Rhinolophus ferrumequinum: one gene and its partners. The protein of the gene in region 1 interacts with the protein of each later gene in a pairwise test. Links are inferred from orthologs where the notes say so. Each region holds a gene or a part of one and is shown on either strand. Other genes may lie near its edges.

Region 1 (3,747 bases):
TTACTTACCTTCTGGGGTAAATGTGGGAAAGAGTTATGAGTATTAGCGATTCTCTTTTTCACCCAGCAGCTGAAGTGATTTGGTTGGGACTTGTTTCCTCAACCTTGCCTCACTTACAGCTTAAGTCTTTACAACCTAAGTTTCATTTATGCTCTCCACTCCTTACCCTACTTTACCTTAATTGCAGTGATGGCAAAGGCTATTTTCCGCCGCCCATCGATATTGGTGTTGAGTACTCGCAAAATGTGCTGGAACTTCTCAGGGATCACTAGAGACTGATAGAGATTGGGGGAGAAAGCAGACACCGTGAACGACCATCAACTCATAACCTCAAACAGGAACGTTCAACTTGTCACACAGGGAGCAATGGTCCCTCGTCAGGCTTTCACAACACAGCAAACTCCTTAGACCTGCAGACAGCAGGAACATGAAGTGTTTGGACTTGGGGAAATGCAACCTCTGGGAGAGGACAAATCTCCTGCCTTTTCCCAAAAGTACACTCTGAGTGGCGGAGGCCGGAGGTCCCCAAACGCGCCCAAGCCTTTCGCCGTTTTTGAGCGCCCGGGGAGTGACTGTTCCTCTGGCCCCACTCCCCGGAACTGGATGTCTTTAGTCGTTCCTTCCCGGGGCGCGATCCAAGGTTCCACACAGAAAGTTGCAGGCCCCAAACCAGGGTGTTCTCGGTCCGCTGATAGCAGACCTTCCCTGCCCCGGTCCGGATGTCGCCGGATCCCCGGACGGATTCGAGCCTTACCATGGCGGCAGCCCCAGTGGCGGCGTGCAGGCCTCCTGTGGAAAAGAGAGCGGTAGTGACGTAATAGTCTTATATAGTTATCAGGAGGAAGAGGCGGGACTACCTTAGTGAAGCGCTTCCGGAAACAGTTTATGCCCTAGTCCACTAGACTTCTGAGAGTCTAAATTAGTCGTCACAACTTCCGGTTCCGCGTCTATTTACAGTTCGTAAACTTTTGGGGTTAGAGAGCAGCGAAGGTTCCGGGCGAGATTGTGCTTAAGACTTCCATTTCCCATTTGTACTCGAGTGAAGTGGTTAGAGCTTTAACGCAAATATCTGGGAACGATTTCGCGCTGTGCAAGACACTCTAAGACTTGTAGTTCCCTCCGGGAAACGGACTTGCGGCGACTGACAGCTGCCGGAAGTGAGGCTGCGCGGAATGGCTGCCGCTGCCACCATGGCGGCAGCTGCCCGGGAGCTGGTATTGCGGGCCGGGGCTTCAGATGTGGAGGAGGAGGAGGGCCCGCTGGTGAGAACGCCGGGCTGTTTCTCCGGGATTTTGTCCGGTCGTCCTTGCGTCAGAAAGATCTGGGCTGGGTTTTTGCAAGAGTGGGAGCTTGGCTGCTACCGGAGGTCCTCTCCATACCCCTCCCTGGGGCCAGAATGCTGGAAACTCAGCTTCCCAGGACACAATTTCAGTTAACCTCCAGATTATGAGACAGCATAGAAAAGCAGTGCAGTGTGAAGGTTAAGAGTATGGCCTCTGGAGCCCGATTGCCTCTGTTCTAATTCTAGTTCTGCTACTTACATGCTGTGTCCTTGGGCACGTTAACTAGCTTCTCTGTGCCATCGCTTTACATACCTACCTTATAAGGTGAAGAAAATAATAAGACCTACCATATAGGTTGTTGGTTATGAGTCCATGAATGAGTATATTTAAGATGGAACCAGGCCTCCAAGTAACTATTGGGTGTTAGCTGACAGTTCTAGAAAGGCTGGAGCTCCCTAGAGAGATTGTGATATAACACCTAAGATAGCAGGAGTTTGGGGACTCCTAAATTCAACTGCAAGTTCTGCTCTGTCCTCTCCAACTCCTAATTTTTCTCAGTTGGACATCTTCATTCTCTTTGTGGGTTGTATGGCTCCTTGTCGTAGTCCCTACACTTCAGCCCCAAGTAGTAGATTGGGTACAAGGTGAGACTCTTGGAAGTTTTTGACTCAGCACCTATGGCTCCCCAGTAAAAGTTCCCCTCTCCCCCTTGAAGTATTGGCGATTATCCCATTATATTGTGTTCTCCCCCTCTTTCCGTGTATCCTTTCTCATTAATTTATCCCTCTCCAGGGGGGTGGTCCTGGTCTTCAGGAGCCATTGCAGCTTGGAGAGTTGGACATTACCTCTGATGAATTTATCCTGGATGAAGTGGATGGTAAGTGATGGCACTGGATGCAGAGCGTCTATAATCTGAGCGGCATGGGGGCTGGAAGTAATGAGGCAGGGGTTGGTGTGCAGATGTTCAGTGCGGGCAGAGGGCATTATGGAACTGAACCCTTATAATACACTTCTATTTCCAGTTCACATTCAGGCAAATCTGGAGGATGAGTTAGTAAAGGAAGCTCTTAAAACGGTAAGTCTTTCTGCTATACTAATCTGCCACGCCACCCCCTGCCCACACCTTTTTAAAGAAAAAAAAAAGGAAACAGTTTCTTGTACTTATAATGCCACCCTGATGTCTTACCTTCTGGTCCTTCATTGATTCTGTTCCAGTGTCCCTTCACTGTGACTTCCTCCTGACCTGTTTATGTTCTCCCAGGGTGTGGATCTCCGTCACTATTCAAAGCAGGTTGAGCTGGAGCTACAGCAGATTGAACAGAAATCCATTCGAGATTGTATCCTCCAGCAGAGGAAAAGGGTGGTATTATTAAAATGGGGATTTTGTGGAGCATGATGCAGACAGCCTAACTGGGGATGACATCTTCTCTCTGAGGCTTCTGTCACCTCAGGGCGAAATTGAAGAGGTCCTGAAGGCCTGAGGATCTCCATTTTCATGGTGAGCCTCCTTGACTTTCTGTGGGTCAGATATCCAAGAGAGTGAGAACATAGCATCTCTGCACAACCAGATCACAGCCTGCGATGCTGTCCTTGAGGTTAGTAAGCATGACCTGTGATCTCTAATAACCTTGAACCAGATCATGGTCTTTGGTGCCACTCTTTAGGTCATCAACCTTAGGTGGAGACAGTTAGAATCACTTCCAGGATGACCTCAGCAGCCTTTTGTTGTTATAGTTGTAACTAATGTTATTTGCTAGTGACCTTTGGGGTATCTCTTCCCTCATCACCTGCTACCCTCCTGGACTGATAGATACTGGGGACTTCACCAATGTGCTTAGGTGTCCCACGTGTCCCCTACCTACCCTGTGACACTCCAGCAACATCTTCTGCCTTTCCCCCCAGCGCATGGAGCAGATGTTGGGAGCTTTCCAGAGTGACCTGAGCTCCATCAGCTCTGAGATCCGGACACTGCAGGAACAGTCAGGAGCCATGAACATTCGGCTTCGAAACCGCCAGGCAGTTCGGGGGAAACTCGGGGAGCTTGTCGATGGCCTGGTAGTGCCCTCTGCTCTGGTCACGTGAGTTACCAGTTTGAAAGGTCACAATGTCTATAGCAGGTAGATAGGCTGGGGTGACCTAACCTATTTACCACATGGGTTTCCTGACTCCAGGTTATCAAGTGTCATCCAGAAACTGATGGTTGGGTTGACAACTGTTTCTAACCTTGATGCATGCTTTAGGCATCAAAGACTAGGAATCGTCCAGGGTCAGGCATGTAGTGAGGGGGTCCAAGGCTTATGTGGGAAGCGGGGGTCCAGGAATAGAAAACTCTGTATGTATATCCTGACTGTATGGTACAGTGTAAGAAGGGCAAGGGGACAGAGGCTGGATGTAAGTGATATGATTTGGAGTGTAGGGATGTCTGGGTCTCCCTCCTAACCCGTCCCACCCCGTCCTGCTACCC
Region 2 (3,747 bases), on another chromosome or scaffold:
GTTTTTCAAGCCTCCACCTACCTGTGTGGAACTTGACTTCTTCTGAAAGTAACACCAGATATTTCTGAGTCCCTAAATATTCCGACAGACACACACGTTGGCTCAGCGTCCAAGGAAAGTCACCATAGAGACTGTGACCAGTGCCCTCTACCAAGCCTAGCTCCGTCAAGGATGCCATGTCCCTTTGCTCCCAAAGCCACTGCTGCCCGAAATGTCAGGATGCTGCTGGATTCTCATCCCTAGGCCTTTTAGGGTCCCCTCAGGGAACGGGGCTACTACTGTTCTAGGTCCAACTATGGGTGTTCCCAGGCGCCTTCAGTTATTGTCCATCAGTCCCCACTCGTCCCTCCAGATACCACTGTCCCCACCCTCCAGATACCACTGTCCCCACCCATGTGACCCTCTGCTAGTCCTGGAGAACAGGAATCCTTGTGAGGCTGGCTCCGTGAGGCATTGCCAGAGAGCAAGAAGGACAGTGTCAGCTACTTAGCAGCAGGTGGGATCTATTTTGGAAGAAATGCTTCTCCCTTCGTTTCCCTGAGACAAATCTTCGATGTGCCTAGGCTTTTGGAAACCTGCTTTTACTCTTTCACAAACCTCCCTTGAAGAGAAAGGAGAAAATAATCGAAGAAAAACACAGATGAGTTTTGCCGTAAGTTTTCTTTCCCCACAGTACCTCAGAATGAAAGCACTTCCCAAGATTAATTAAGAGAAATTTATTTTGTCTCAAAGATCCCAAGTTACCGAGATGCAAAGAATTTTTCACTTCACCGGCCCCGCCCCGCCCCGCCCCGCCCCGCCCCGCCCCGCCCCGCCCGGCTCCCCGCCTCCCGTCCCCCGCCCCCCGCCCCGCCCCGCCCCCCGCCCCGCCCCGCCCGGCCCCGGGCTGCGTGCGCACGCGCGTCCCCGGGCGGGGACTGGGCCTGGTGCGCCTGCGCGGATGGGCAGTCCGGCGGGGCCGCAGCCGCGGGGTGGCGGGCGGTTGTCTTAGAGACCGCGCGGGCCCCTCCGTCCTCCGGACCCCGCCCCACGCCGTTGCCCACCGAGCCGGACGATCCCCGGACGACCCCGGGACGACCACGCCCGTCCCCTGCCGCCGGCCGGGCCGGAGCTGCGCCGGGACCCGCGAGAGGCGGTGCCGCCCCGAGATGTCGCAGACGGCCATGTCGGAGACCTACGGTACCGGGCGCAGGGCCGGGGGCGGGCGGGCGGTGCGTCCCGGTCCAGGCCTCCTGCCGCGCTGACGCCCCGGGTTCCTCTCGGCGCGGTCTGGTCTCCGTAGCGCGGGGTTTGGGAAGGCGGCTCGCGGCTGTTCCATCTGCGGCATTGTCCCCAGCGAGGGACGTGACGGGCTCGGGCGACGCCTGCGGCCCCGGTGGACCTTTGCTGCCTTGGAGCCCCCTCCTGCACGGGGTCACGGGTGGGGCCGGCTCTGTGAGCGGCTCTCGGGGGCGTGTGCCCCGCTCGTGTCCCCTCGGGTTCAGCCCCTTCTGGTTGCGCCTGACGTTGGCAGTGTCTCCAGACGGCGGGCACCTCGCGAGCACCGGGGCCCGCGTTTGCGCGCCGCTGCTCCCGTCGGCGCCCACACCTGCGGGCGCCCAGCACATACCTTTTGAATAAACCGAAGCCTTGCGGAGTCACGCGCGGTTTTCGTCTGGGTGTGAGGCCTGCGCGACAGAAGTGAAGTGCGCGGTGTGCGCGCCCGCCCTGTCGGGGCTGAGCTGGCGCCGCTTTAGTCGCCCTGAACGGCGTGTGCATTCAGGTCGAGGCCGATTGGGAGTTTTACAGCCCAGGTCAGAGGCTCGGATTCAAAAGTGTGTACCTCACGTCGGATCACTTTTGTCTCCGTTTGTGCTGTCACGCTGCTCCTTCCCCTTCAGCAAGTGTGTGTGCACGGGCGTGCGGAGCCGCGCTGGAAGGCGCTGACTCCCGGCGGGCGGGCGGTCTGGCTGGGGGTTCAGTGCGGACCTGCTTATGCCACTGACGAGTGACTAGTTAAAACCCCTGGCAGGAGTTCCGAAGCCTGTGGTCTGTGAAAGTATGTGAGAAAGAAACCTAACCCAGGCTGGGGGCCAGGGGACGGCAGCACAGCACGTGCCCAGGCCCAGGCCGGGAGGGAGATGCAGTTCCACTGGGGGAGTGTGGCTTGGGCCCCACAGCCCCTGGGAGAGCCCTGAGGGCGAGGCACAGAGGACCTCGTGCGAGGATGTGGTCTTTCTCCCGAGAGCGGTGGGTGGGTCAGTGCATTTGCTCCATGTCCTGCCACTCCTGGGAGTGGTACATGCATGGTGACACTGGGGGGCACTGCAGCAGGTCTGTCCCTAGAAGGCTTTGGAGATCCTCCAGGAAGTCGCTGGCTTCACAAGGACCAGTGTAGTCAGAGCTGCAAATGCTACAGTACGTCACATCCCGTCACATCCCCGTGGTCCATAGAGAACCACTGTTGAATTTCTTAAAGAAAATATATTTCTCTAGCAATGTTTGATTATACTTTTGCTTTTCTTTATTTTCAAGTGCTCCTAACCTCCACACTCCTCTTTAACCTGGATAAGGAGCACAAGAAAGGGGTGAAAAGTCTAAATAAGAAAAGCCAGTGGGGTTATGAAATAATAAGAAATGAGTGGAAGAGTTCATTTCTCTTATATGGGATGATAACCTTGATAAAATGGAGCATGCCTCTGGCATCTCTGCTTCCCTTCTGACAGTGAATTAAACTTTTGAGCATCACAGTAACTGATTAAATTTGATCCTAAGGTTTTGACCATCAGTATTCTTATTTCATGGTAACTTCCAAACATGTTTTTACTTTTTACCAACAGAATTTAATCTTTCTCTCTAGAGGAAACAAATAGAAAATAAGTTTTAGAAAGAGCAAATGTGGAAATTGAAAGTGTCAACCTAAAATTAAAAATCACTCCAAACCAAGTCCTAAGCTGTCACCTTCCCTTATTGACCATTTTTGCACAGCATTGTGCCCCAAAGGTAAATCAATCAGGGGCCCTCCTCCCACACATTTGCCTCTTGGATAGCTGGTAAAGGAATATTTGCCTAATCTTTAAACTCCTTTCTAGTCTGGGCTCACTTTCTCTCTTCTGGGAAAGAAGGCTCTGTGTAGCTTGACCGGGATGATGAAAAAGGAAGAGCCAGGCTTATAATGTACCGTTAGTGAGCTCTGTCTGCCCTCTGTGTGCCTGTTAAAGCATTTGATCCCCTCATAGACTGAGGAGTGTGCAACATTTTGCTGCTTTGAAACCACTAACCACATGAAAACTCTATGTATTATTGTAACAGAAAATTGAAATAAACACAGAAGTTTCAGATTGAAACCTTCAATCTGAATAGCCGTCAACTAAAACAGTGGTTCCCAAATGTTACCAGGTTCATGACACTTTGAAAGCCCTGGCCAAGTAGGCTGGCTTGGGACTTCCCAAGGAACTGCAGCCATCTAACACGGGAGATCGCAAATTAGCTTTAAGTAATTTCTGATAATCAAGATTTATGAGACAAAACTAACAAATCAGAGAAGTATTAATAGTTCCCAGCAATGGAGTTCAGAAAGGAGCTAAAAAGTGTTAAGTGATGCAGAAAATGCTATGAATTAAAAATAAAAAGTTTAAGGGCCGAGGCAGTTTGAGAGAGGAAAAATCTAAGGTAAATCTCTCTCTACACACTGGAGTTTATGCCTTCTACAACAAATTATGGAACAAGAACACAAATTGTTGGTCCTGTGCTAATTCTTATTACAGT
Region 3 (3,747 bases), about 3.7 Mb from region 1:
GCATATAAAAAATGTCCTTTAGACAAGGAATCCTTTAAGTATTCTCCAATATGTGAAAAGACATGTGGTAGCAGTAAACAAGCCACCTCAACAGTCCTTTGTTGGGATGGAAACTATTCTGACTGGTGTGTGCTTTCTGCCCACGCCCCTCATCACTGGTGTACAGCCACAGAAACTGAAAAAGAGCAAAAAACACTGACGAGACATTCAAAGGATTCAAAATGCTAATATTAAATCTCATTCTGGATTTAAAACTAGATTGAAAATAAAGTCAAGGGTGAAAAACTGATAATAGATTAATAAGAGAAATTAAGTCTGTTTGGGTTTATATCCTTACTCTTTGTGATTCACGTCATGGAGATATATTCATGCGTCCTCGCAAGAAACATTACTTGGTCTGAATTGGATGAATACTTTGTCAGCATCTGGGTTCTGGTCAGAAAGTGACAGTTATTAGATGAAACAGGGATTCAGGGGTGTCCAAACTGCGGCCCACGGGCCAAGTGTGGCCCAGGATCCATTGTTAATTGGCCCGCAACAAATTCCAAAAATATATTTAGTTTACTTAAATAAACCAGGTGAGGCAATACGTACTTCACCTCGAGTGAGTGGCCCGGCTGTGTGTGTATTTTACTGCATATGGCCCTTGGTGAAAACCGTTGAAAAAAGTTTGGACACCCCTGGATTAGATCATTTGAACTTCACCCACAGCACAGGTCCTTCAATAGTGTTCAATGAACAGAGGAGAAGAAGATTCTCATGAACCAACCGTTACTCACGTGTTGAACAGTCAGCAACCATACGCTATCCAACCGTATTGATCTTCCTTCACAGATTAAAATATATATATATATATCGGGGTCCGAACCGAAAGGGAAACGGAGGGTAATAACCAGTGTCACTGAGCTGGGTGGGAGATTTTAAAATGGGCTGCAAATAACACATGGGACCTCATTTTTAGGTCAAGATTTACGTATATAAATAAATACATATGCTTTCTCTTCCCCAAAAATATTAGACTCCAGAACCTCATTCCCTCCAAAGAAAACTGTACCCTTTCCTCTTCCCATAGGTCCTTCACCTGCTTCTTCCAGGTTAAGGAACCTTCAGTCCCGCCTCCCTGCGGGTCCGAGCTCCGCCTTCCCGGTCCACCTGTGCGCCCAGCCCCTGACGTCACCGTTCGGCTTCAGCGGCTTGCAGGATTCCGGCTCCTGATTGGTTCGTCCGACCACGGCCTGGCAGTCCACCAATGGCAGCGGCGCTGGGTGGGGAGGTGCCCATATCCAAGATGGCGGTCCCAGCACCTAGGAGCGGGTGACCGGCAGCGGGGGAAGTGGCCTGGGTTGGCCCTCCGATTGTGGGGTCCTGGGGGCATCTCGCCGAGTACCCCCTGGCCCGCCTACAAGGCCTTCCCCGGGCCAGAGCAATGGCTGCCGAGAACAGCAAGCAGTTTTGGAAGAGGAGCGCCAAGCTGCCGGGGAGGTGAGCCCAGGAGCTGAGAGGAGGAAGAGGGGATTGGACCAAACCCTTCCGGATCCGAAGCCCTAAATCTCGCGGGCCTGGAGCTCCGCCGACCCCGGCGGGCTGGTTTGGGCAACGTGGGCTGGGGGAGCTGGGGCTGCCTGGTGGCGGCAGGGAAGCTGTCAGGATGAGGCGCAGGCAGCAGGGTTTGGGGACGGCTGGTTGTGGGAGCAGCCCCGGGTCTGGGGGTGGAGGGCTCTGGAGGGGCTGCCCTCAGCCAGACGGTGGCCGGAGTCCGGGCGTAAAAGACCCTGGAGTGGGATGAGTAGCCTGTGTCCGTCCTGGATTAGGAGGGTCAGCCCTGGAACTGCTTCTCACGTTAAAGAGAACTCTCTCTTGGGGGGGGGGTTGTCTCCCCCACACACAGGTGGTTGTTTGGACAAGGATGGCCCCTTCCCCTGCTCCTCCAGCTCTGCACGTAGGAACCTTTTTCCTGGATTCCAGCAAGGTTCTGCTGGGAGCTTGGGACCCTCTGCAGGGGGACAGGAGAAATGAGGAAAAGTCTCAGGCCTGACCTTACTTCATCTTCAGTTGGCCTTTTCCCATTAGGAATTATTACAGGGTGACCCAAGAATTGAGGTTATTTCTTTAATCTTTTCTAAGGATTTATTCAACCCCAAGTAACCCTTTACCCTCCTGCGTTGTATCGTTCTACTAAATTTTTTCGTTGTTCAGTTGATGGGTTGGAGAGCAGACCTTCTAAGCTACTTTTTTTTTCCTTTTTGATGTATGTTGAGACCCTTAACAATTGTACATCCTTCCATCTGCTGTTGGTTTACAGTTTCAATTTGTTTTGGGCAGAGTCCTGAGATGTATAAGGAGGAGTGAAGGTTCCGTCGTGAATTTAAGATTTCTGACAGCCATAGTCTGCTTGGTGATGAAATTCATGTGGGTTCCCCCACGTGCTACCTTTCCTCATTGATTGGGGTCTTTTCTTTCTGGGATAATCCTTTGAACTTGTGACCTTTTTTTTTTTTTTTTCCAATAGCAAGAGAGAAAGGGTCAATGGTGGCTATATAGCAGACTTATTTTATTTAGGATCCTATCAGACATATGGAGAATGGTGGGACTCAGCTACTAGTGACACAGTATTAAAATAATGCAAGGGAATGCAGAGATAGCTTCAGATGAAAGTGCTGTGGAATTACAGTGTTAATGTCAGTGCTAATGACTTCTATGTTTTTAGATAAGCACCACTTCCTGCCAACTGATTCCTTTTCCTTCCTGGTCTAGTGAGCTCTCCAGTCTCACTAACTGTTGTTCTCTGGGGTTTTCCATAGTGAGATCATTAAATGTTGACATCCTAAGGTTATAATCAGAATCAATGGGAGAACTGTTAAATCAGGAAGCAATAGATGAGATGTGGGACATGGCACGGTCTTTTGTGCCTGCTGAGTGCTAGTTGTTATTAACAATCTTTCGTTTTGTGTGTTTCCTATTTTGGACTATAGGAGCAGTCACCTTTTTTCAAGGCACTATTTTTGCAAGATAGAAAGAGGAGTCTTTTCAGTTTTCTCAAGTTTCTGGCTTCCTTTTTCATTTTGAAGAGGAATATAGAGGGATAGAGGAGAGATCATTTCAGTTCAGAAAGACTTGGGTTATTATTTGGACCCTTTTACCTGTGTGATTAAGGACAAATGGTTTGCTCAATTTCTCGAGGCTTCAATTTCCTGATCTATGAAATGAGGATAAAAATACTTTCCTCAGGGTTACTGTGAGGACTTAATTTAACATCCTATTTGTAAAGAACCAAGGACAGTATTTATTTAGTACATTATGGTTGCTCATTATATACTAGTAATTAGTATATTCTTACTAATTATTCTTACTACTATTATTCTTAATACTACTATTATTCTTACTACTAATTATTCTTAATACTACTATTATTCTTAAAGCAAATAAATAAACCTTTACTCAGATCCTTACCCTGGTGCTGGGTATTTATGTTCATTGTTTATCTTGAGACATCAAAGTGTTGCCATGATTGACAGTAGTTTTTATACCTTGCTTGTTGAGAGGAAGTATTGTTTAGTTATGTGTTTTTAGCAGGGAAGCCTCCAGGATCCCCTGGTTATGGGGACAACTAGTTTTAGATCGTAAGTGCTTTGATTTAAGGAAAACGTTAGGGCATTTTCTCAAGAATATAATTTTTGCACTTGTACTCTTTCTGTTTTAGTGAAGAAACACTTTCTCCTGGGTGGGGAAAGACATAGACAACTGTGT

Evidence for each region.
Region 2: the proteins of VPS52 (region 1) and RAB4A interact in binary tests that used the Homo sapiens proteins (3 or more experiments, as listed by UniProt). The two-hybrid records come from large-scale screens. The link is inferred for Rhinolophus ferrumequinum from reciprocal best matches to the Homo sapiens genes VPS52 and RAB4A.
Region 3: the proteins of VPS52 (region 1) and TBC1 domain family member 22B interact in binary tests that used the Homo sapiens proteins (3 or more experiments, as listed by UniProt). The link is inferred for Rhinolophus ferrumequinum from reciprocal best matches to the Homo sapiens genes VPS52 and TBC1D22B.

Annotation. Positions count from the first base shown.
Region 1 is NC_046286.1:3,617,709-3,621,455, reverse strand, and holds the start of VPS52 (vacuolar protein sorting-associated protein 52 homolog), read left to right. Parts: upstream 1-940; 5' UTR 941-1,172; coding exon 1,173-1,262; intron 1,263-2,075; coding exon 2,076-2,160; intron 2,161-2,305; coding exon 2,306-2,358; intron 2,359-2,544; coding exon 2,545-2,620; intron 2,621-2,810; coding exon 2,811-2,878; intron 2,879-3,185; coding exon 3,186-3,361; intron 3,362-3,747. Other genes in the region: RPS18 (40S ribosomal protein S18), read right to left, coding at 177-275, 755-757. UniProt on the Homo sapiens protein: Acts as a component of the GARP complex that is involved in retrograde transport from early and late endosomes to the trans-Golgi network (TGN).
Region 2 is NC_046310.1:27,088,358-27,092,104, reverse strand, and holds the start of RAB4A (ras-related protein Rab-4A), read left to right. Parts: upstream 1-908; 5' UTR 909-1,148; coding exon 1,149-1,179; intron 1,180-3,747. UniProt on the Homo sapiens protein: The small GTPases Rab are key regulators of intracellular membrane trafficking, from the formation of transport vesicles to their fusion with membranes.
Region 3 is NC_046286.1:7,334,380-7,338,126, forward strand, and holds the start of TBC1 domain family member 22B, read left to right. Parts: upstream 1-1,318; 5' UTR 1,319-1,426; coding exon 1,427-1,482; intron 1,483-3,747. UniProt on the Homo sapiens protein: May act as a GTPase-activating protein for Rab family protein(s).